Linked DNA regions of Callithrix jacchus. The protein of the gene in region 2 purifies or fractionates together with the protein of the main gene of each other region. This does not show direct contact. Links are inferred from orthologs where the notes say so. Each region holds a gene or a part of one and is shown on either strand. Other genes may lie near its edges. The genes, in order: GDI1 and RAB5B.

Region 1 (4,336 bases), on a different chromosome or scaffold from region 2:
CCTAGTCCTACTCAGCCAATGCCAACTGAAAAAACCCACGTCCTCACCTTGCAAAACCCTGAGGCAGCTCACCCAGGCCGTAAAGCGGGTATAAATACGGGCTCTTGCCATACCGGGCCAGGGACTCACTGTACAACTTGATGCGGTTGATGGTCTCAAGACAGGGCTGGTCCAAGTAGCTGGGGGACAGGGGTAAGGGAAGATGCTCCAATAGCAGCACCCTTGACTCACCACCACCCAGGTACCAGGCCAGTCTTCCCACCACCCTGAATGGCCTAGGGAACATGAAGATCAAATGCAAGGGGGAAATGGAAAGGGTGATAGGTGAGCCTATGGCTGAGTACAAGAGACATGCGGGGCAGGGGAACAGCAGGCAGGTGTGGGGAGGGAGGAGGCAGGCCGGGCGAGGGGGCTGCCGCCACACCAGCTTCCCTCACTCATCAGTGCGGTAGAGCGCCAGGGCGTGGCCAGTGAAATCGATGACATCCTGGCCCAGATCAAACTTTCGGTAGACATCACGCATGCTGGTAGTCTGAGGGTCAACACCCTCAAAGGTCTTGGGGTCATTCTCATCGAAGTTTGCCACAAACACCAGGAACTTGCGGAAGCGCCGTTTCTCAAACATGCCCATCAGATCTAAGGCAGGCGGCAGGACGAGGTTCTGCACCAGCGCAGCACAAAACTCTCCTTCCCAAAGGGCAGGGCCCCACTCCCAGTGTAGCTGTTGTGGGACCTTAGCTCAACCCCTCCGCTCTTTTCAGCCTCGGTTTCCCTGCCTCTATGAAGAGGGGACTGGCCTGGATGGCTCTAAGGGCCTTCCTTGCTCGGACATTTGGGGATGTCTCGGGGATCCAGTGGAGCCCCTGCCAAAAGGTCAAGTCTTTCCAAAGGAGCCCTGTCCTCCTCCACGTCACATCCCTGCTGCGTGTAGGCCTCTCTCCTGGCAGCCATCCGTGAGGCATGGCATGGGGCAGAGAGGATACAGAGTGAAGGGCCTCTGGTTCTTCATGGGGAATGTGACTTTGGACAAGGGGGTGCCTTACTCTGGACAGCCACCCATCCCAAGGACAGTCAACTTCCCTGCCACCCCATGATTCTCTGGCTCAGGGGGCCCACACTCACTGGAAGCCAAGGCCTCAGTCTCAGTGGACGGTACTTTGTAGATCTTGCCCCCCTTGTAGACAAAGCTGCCCTCCACCACCTTGAAGTCCAGATAGCGAGTCACCTCTGTATACAGTAGCATCTTTACCAGCTGCCCTGTGGGTGTGCATGGGGCAACATCGGCACTGCTCTCTCCAGAGTCTCTGCTGGTCTGGCTGCACCTCCCCATCACCCCGACCTGCAATATGTCCTTCCTGTCCCTCACCGTTAGCCATGAGGAATTTGGGAATGAGGTCAACGTTCCAGTCTCGGCCTCGGCCCATCGACTCAGGGGGCCCCTCCAGCAACTGAAAACGCTTATACAGCTGTAAGCAGAAGAGAGACACCTCAGGGACCATCTCCTCCTGCTCCAGGCACCTGGGGAGCTTCTTCTACCCTGTGCCGCTACGTGGGAGGTGAACAGGGATGGGCCTGGGCCCAGATGTCTCACCTCCTCCAGGGGTGTGATGGAGGAGCTCTCACCCCCATAGTAGGGGTTCCGGTCCATGTGCAGCACCTTCTTCCCGTTCACAGACATGATGCCCGACAGGATGCATTCCTGGAGGGAGGGCAATACCATCCTCTCACTCCTACCTGCCTCCCTTCCTACCAGCAGCCCTGATTTGTTCCCCACCCAAACCTGATCCAGTGGACAGCTCCTTCCACCCCCTCAAACCAGCTAGTTGCCTCGCCTAAAATTGGGGTGACAGCTTCATCTGACCACCGTCTCCTTTGTAACCTTGCTGGGCAAAGGAGTCCCATCCCCCTCACAAGGTAGGCAGTGAAATAATGGAGGCTCTGAGAGAGGCAGGGCATCCAGCAGACACAGGATGGCCTTCCAGTACCCACAAGCCAATGGACATGTATCTACGCAGAGCTGCACAGAAAGGCTGTTAAAACACAATGAGGCGCAGACGAGACCTAGCTGGACTGCGAAGGACACTCGAAAGGGAGGTGAAGAAAGGCTTAGCGCAGTCCTTGAAATTGTAGGCCCCACCCTGGACTGATCTTTCTTCAAATGGCGGGAGACCCTGCTGCTGATGAGGGGCATCTGGGCTTGGACTGAGAAAGAAGAGTCTCTCTGGGGAGCGGGCCAACGGGGTTTTTGGGGAAAAGGGGAAGATAAATACCCTCACCCGTCACTGTCACTAGCCCAAGGACAAAGGCTGCAGATGCTACTCAGCCTGAGGTCTCCATAGGCAACCGGGGTGGGGTTGAGGGAATGTGCTTACTGCCCCCACCGCTGCTCCTTCTGGAACATTCCCTGGATCCCCTGGCCCCAGAAGACGAGGAGGTGGGCTGAGGGCCCACCCTGAGGAGGCCCCCTGACCCCATGTCCCTGTCCCTACCGGGATTAGCGCAAGATGGGAAGGGACGCTAAGCGGGCGATGGGTGCGGGCAACCTGCGGGAGGGGGGGAGATTCCGTGATGGGTGGGGGCGATGGGTGGGCGGGGTCGGGGCACCGGGCTTAGCTGGGGTGCATTTTCCGGCCCAGCAGGCACAGGGGTAGGAAAGATGGGAGGGTGCCGGGGGTCAGACCCGGGCAGCCAGGAAGGGGGCCCCTTCGGGAAGATGGGGTCATAGCAAAAAGCAGAGGCGACGTCGCGGGGGGAGCGGCGCGGGGAGCGGCGGGGTGGGCACGGTGCCGGCTTTTTGGAGAGCCGAGCGCATCAGATGGCAGTGACCGGAGGGTGGGCCGGCGGCCACATCATCGCGGGGGGTGGCGAGGGCAAGACACGGGGCCAAGAGCGCCTGGGGCCGCACTTACGGTGAGGCCGGTCCCCAGCACGATCACATCGTATTCCTCGTCCATGGTCAGGCCTCGGTGCCAGTGCCCGCTCGGCTCCTCCTCCTCCTTCACCGCCGCCGCCGCCGCCGCAGCACTGGACCAAAGATGGCGGCGTTTCGGTCGCCGCCTGACCCCTCCGCCTCGTCAAAGAGTCCCGCCTATTCTCGAGCCCCGCCGCGCCCGGCCAGATCCACCGTTTCCCCAGCTCGCCTCCCAGGAGACCTGCTAGGGCCCGGGCCACAGCACCAGCGCGGCTCCGAGGACGACGCTGCTCGCCGAGGGTCCAGAGAGGCGCGGGGCGGGGCGGGCGGGGCGGGCTGGCGGCCGGTACTGCGGCTAGGAAAGGATCCGTGCGCGGAGCCGCGCGCGCCCCGCCCCATCCTCCCCGCCCCGCCCCGCCCCGCGCGCGCCCGCCCAGCCCCGCGGGAGGCTCGGCGCGGTCCCGCGGCCGGGTGCGCGCCGCTGCGGCAGCCGGGGCAGCCCCCTCATGATACGAAGGCTGCCATTGTCACGACGGCCTCCCGAGTCGCCAAAGCGTAACGGGACTCGGCCCGACCGCCCCTTCCTGCCCTAAGTGGTTAGGGCCCACCCTGCTAAAGCCCCTCCAGGTCTCCGCGGATGCTTCCTCACCTCTTCCTCACCGGGCTCCATCCTCCCGCATCCCTCCAGCGAGCACGCACCTAAAGCCCAGTGCAGAAATGACCTACAAGAGGCCCAAATCGTGGCGATCCGCGTTTATTAGGAAGGAAACAACCGAGCACGCCAGGCTCCTGCCAGGCACTCCCGATGGGAACATGCCAGACAGCTGGAGATTGCACCCAGCCCACCTGGGGTGGAGGTCCCTTCCTTCTCAGGCCACAGAAATAAACCCCAGTGTACTGCTTATCATTAGCACAGCATCACCAGAAAACAATAACGACAGCAAAGCAGGTCAGACAGTTAAGTAGTACCTCCACACCCCCAAACTCAGGGAGCCCCATAACCTTAAGGAGAGAGCATTTGCTACATAAAAGCACTATCCACAGCCAGGGATGATGTAGACACAATAAATAAGGAGAAAGGGGACCCTAGAATTCATGTCCCTTACGCCTCACCGCGGCTGAGCCTGGGACATTGGTCTAGCATCTACGCAGAATTATGTACACCTTGTTGGTAGGGATGGGGGCAGCCCCAGGAAATCTCCTTAGTGGGCTGAACGGGGAGCAAGATGGGCTAAAGGGAGCTTGGGGTTCATGCTGTGGTAGGAAGAGGGACACTGTCCCACCCTCAACCCCCTCCTGGCACAGGGTCACACAATCTGGGTCAAAGAAATGGTGGGGCCCTTGTGGTCATCAAAGCGATCCATGGTCTTGAGGCTGAGGATCATGTGCAGGCCATAGGTGAAGATGAAGAGCATGAAGAGGGAG
Region 2 (3,808 bases):
AGACAGAGTGAGACTCCATCTCAAAAAAAGAAAAGAAAAAGAAAAAAGCCTTACCAAGCATTGAATATCCTCTTACCCCAAGGCACTCACCTCCAATGGTGCTCTCCTGGTACTCGTGGAACTGCCCTTTGACAAAACGTAATACCAGGCTTGACTTTCCCACTGCAGATTCTCCCAGCAGGACCAATTTGAACTGGCATATTTTGCTGGCCTGGGGTTGCCCATTGGGCCTAGCTGTGCTTCTGCTAGTCATGGCCAGATTATCAGAGTAGGAAAGGGTGGAGGGAGGGGGATGCCGTAAAGGGGGGAGGGGGAAGGGGAGGGGATTTCCAGGCTTCAACAGTCCTGCAAGAAAAACAAGTATATAAAATTAGACATAGGTCCAATGAACTGCAATTGCTTTTTAGAGAAATCATAGAATCTCTTCATCTCCTTGCTCCTATGAGGACTTAGCTCTTGCAATCATCCACTATTGACAGGTTATACCTCTGAGAAGGTCCTGGGCAGCTGATACTCAGTTCTAAGAGTTGGGAACAGCAAAATAAGAACTGCTTCTAGAGTTTGCCCTATCACATAATCTCTAACTGCCAAGGGACCTGAAATAGAGAGACTGAAAACTGAGAGATTTTAATTCCCTAGTAATTTCCCACCAGGTCTTTAAGATTTTTTGTTTGAGTCACACAAACTGATCAACCTTTGGTTGGCCTGAAGAATATCCAGATCCACCCACAGGTACACTAGATTCCCAGTATCTCCTTGGCATCCTGGTGCTGTGTTCTTCTTTTTCTTTTAGCTCTATTGTGAGAATGAGAGATTCACTCTAGGGTTGTGGGATAAGAGGTCACCCCTTCTAAGGGTGCTATATAGCTGCTGCTATATCCTTCATATATGACTGGTCTGCCTGATAAGACATTTCTAAAGATCTAACCAGGGTCCCATTGACAGAAAATCTATCCTTTCTCATTTTTTGTTGAAGGTAAAGAAAGAAATACAACCAACCCATTATATTCATTATCAACTGTTTCATTAACAACATTTTTTTCACTGTTTCTGCCCTCTTTTCAAATCTGAAAGACTATCAAGTCTGAGAGTCAGTAAACTTGACCTACCGTCAACTTGCAGCTGTCTTGCTGGTGCCTAGGGATTAGATTACCCTCCACACCAAAGAGGCCTAATAGCTGTAGCTCTCCAAATTAGAGGCAGAGGAAGGTATACTTTCTCAACACATGCAGGAATCTCCAGAGGATGGTATAGGGGTAAGTCTGAAAGCAATCAATATTTGATGAAAGAATATACTGAATCAACTCCCTCATCTTCTAAGAGGGCTAAGAAAGCTGCTGGTGGGGCAGGGAACAGAGAGTTGGGACTTGGAGATTCTAATCATCTAAATCTGAATATATTTCATCATCATGACTCTGAGCGGAAAGGAGCTATAAATTCAAAGGGGAGTTAGCATGGGCAGAGCATGCAAAAATCTCTCTCCCAAAGGTAAGCACTGCTTGACAGTTGTACTTTGCTTGTTCAAATTAATATTTCCCTTTTCCAAAGCTGATCCTAGTGACTTAAGAGACATCATACTCTATGGCATATGGGGAAACATTATTATTTTGTCACAATTAGTGGGTTTGGAGTTAAACTGGGGTTAAAAAATTTCAGTAATCCCACTTACTAGATAGTAAAGACAGTAAATCATACAGGAGGCAATGCAGAGGAACAAATGTTCTGGAGTCCAATTCTCTGGGTTTGTTTTCCAGTTTTACTTATTAGCTATGAACCTTGGGTAAGTCACTAAATGTATGTGTGCATTCATTTCCTCATCTGTAAAATGAGGTAACAGTCTTATACGCACCTACTTCATAAAGGTATCATAAAGATTACATGAGATCATACATATAAATAACTTAAGTATTTGATATATACTAAGTACTAAATAAATATTAAACTACTAATCATATGACATAAAGAAAATTTCTCTATTTCTCTAAGCCTTACTTTCTATCTTTGTAAAATGGAAAAAATACCATCCTCATAGCTACAAAAATTAAGCGAAAGACATGCTTAGCATAGTTCCAATAATAATAGCTATTAAAATATATATCAATAGTAGTTGTTATCAATATATTCCTAAAAAGCTGCCACAGGCTAGGCATGGTGGCTCACATCTATAATCCCAGCACTTTGGTAGGCTGAGGCAGGTGGATCACCTGACCTTGAACACCTGAGGTCAGTTCGAGACCAACCTGGCCAACGTGGTGAAACCCCATCTCTACTAAAAATATAAAAATTAGCTGGGTGTGGTGGCACATGCCTATAGTCCCAGCCAGCTGGGAGGCTGGGGCAAGAGATTCAGTTGATCCCAGGAGACGAAGGTTGCAGTGAGCCAAGATCATGCCACTGCACTCCAGCCTGATGACAGAGCGAGACTTCATCTCAAAAAAAAGGAAAAAAAAATTTAGCCAGGTGTGGTGGTGGGCGCCTGTAATCCCAGCTACTAGGGAGACTGAGGCAGGAGAACTGCTTGAACCTGGGAGGTGGAGGCTGCTGTGAGCCGAGATCCTGTCATTGCACTTCAACCTGGGTAACAGAGCAAGACTCTTTCTGGGGGTGGGGGCAGCAGCTACATGAAAGTGGTACAGAGAAAGAAAAAGAGAAAAAACAGGCCTGGCACAGCAGCTCATGCCTGTAATCCCAGGGGTTGGGAGATAAAAGTGAAAGGATTGCTTGAGGTGAGGAGTTTGAGACCAGCCTGGCAACACAGCAAGACTGAGTTTCTATAAAACATTTTTTGTTGTGAGCTGGAGTCTCGCTCTGTCACCAGGTTGGAGCACGGTGGCGCGATTTCGGCTCACTGCAACCTCTGCCTCCCAGGTTCAAGTGATTCTCCTGCCTTAGCCTCCCAAGTAGCTGGGATTATAGGCGTTCACCATCACCCCTGGCTAATTTTTTTTATTTAGCAGAGATGGGATTTCACCACGTTGGCCAGGATGGTCTCAATCTCCTGACCTCGTGATCCACCCGCCTTGGCCTCCAAAAGTGCTGAGATTACAGGTGTGAGCCACTGTGCCCAGCCTACAAAACATTTTTTAAAATTAGCTGGGCATGGTGGTACACGCCTGTAATCCCAGCTACTCCAGAGGCTGTGATAAATCACCTGAGCCCTGGAGTTGAAGATTATAGTGAGCTATGATTGCACCACTGCACTCCAGCTTGGGCCACAGAGTGAGACTCTGTCTCTAAATAAATAAATAAATATGTACGTATATATTTATATTATCTCTGCTCACTGCAACCTCTACCTCCTGGGTTCAAGCGATTCTCCTGCCTCAACCTCCCAAGTAGCTGGGATTATAGGCACGCACCACCATGCCTGGCTAATTTTTGTATTTTTAGTAGAGATGGGGTTTCACCATGTCAGTCAGGCTGGTCTTGAACGCCTGACCTCATGATCCACCTGCCTTGGCCTCCCAAAGTGCTGGGATTACAGGTATGAGCTACCATGCCCGGCAATCAGTTATTCTTTAAACTATTTATTCATTTTTTTCAAACTATGAGTTATCATTTAAGAAAAAAAGTTTTAAAAACATTGCTTTAGAGAGAGCTGACACTGAAAGATGGGGTAGTAGGGATGGAAATAAATTCAGTTTCTGAACAGTCTATAGCTATGGTTACTACTCAAGCACTTCTGGATGAAATTCAGATAAGGACTGAATGATGCGCCTTCCACAGGTCAGAGAATTCTCCAACCCTGCCACTAAAGTTGTAGCACAATCATGAAAGTGGGGAGAGCCAACTTAGAGGCAGTCCTGTA

What was found.
Region 1: the proteins of RAB5B (region 2) and GDI1 purify together in Homo sapiens (affinity purification with mass spectrometry; 3 studies listed by BioGRID and IntAct, counting the BioPlex papers as one, with this or other methods). This does not show direct contact. The link is inferred for Callithrix jacchus from reciprocal best matches to the Homo sapiens genes RAB5B and GDI1.

Annotation. Positions count from the first base shown.
Region 1 is NC_133524.1:150,231,793-150,236,128, reverse strand, and holds the start of GDI1 (rab GDP dissociation inhibitor alpha), read right to left. Parts: upstream 3,038-4,336; 5' UTR 2,955-3,037; coding exon 2,910-2,954; intron 1,700-2,909; coding exon 1,592-1,699; intron 1,467-1,591; coding exon 1,367-1,466; intron 1,258-1,366; coding exon 1,123-1,257; intron 637-1,122; coding exon 438-636; intron 180-437; coding exon 48-179; intron 1-47. Other genes in the region: ATP6AP1 (V-type proton ATPase subunit S1), read right to left, coding at 4,219-4,336. UniProt on the Homo sapiens protein: Regulates the GDP/GTP exchange reaction of most Rab proteins by inhibiting the dissociation of GDP from them, and the subsequent binding of GTP to them. Promotes the dissociation of GDP-bound Rab proteins from the membrane and inhibits their activation.
Region 2 is NC_133510.1:63,690,093-63,693,900, forward strand, and holds part of RAB5B (ras-related protein Rab-5B), read right to left. Parts: intron 1,263-3,808; exon of another isoform or gene 1,110-1,262; intron 346-1,109; 5' UTR 254-345; coding exon 91-253; intron 1-90. UniProt on the Homo sapiens protein: The small GTPases Rab are key regulators of intracellular membrane trafficking, from the formation of transport vesicles to their fusion with membranes.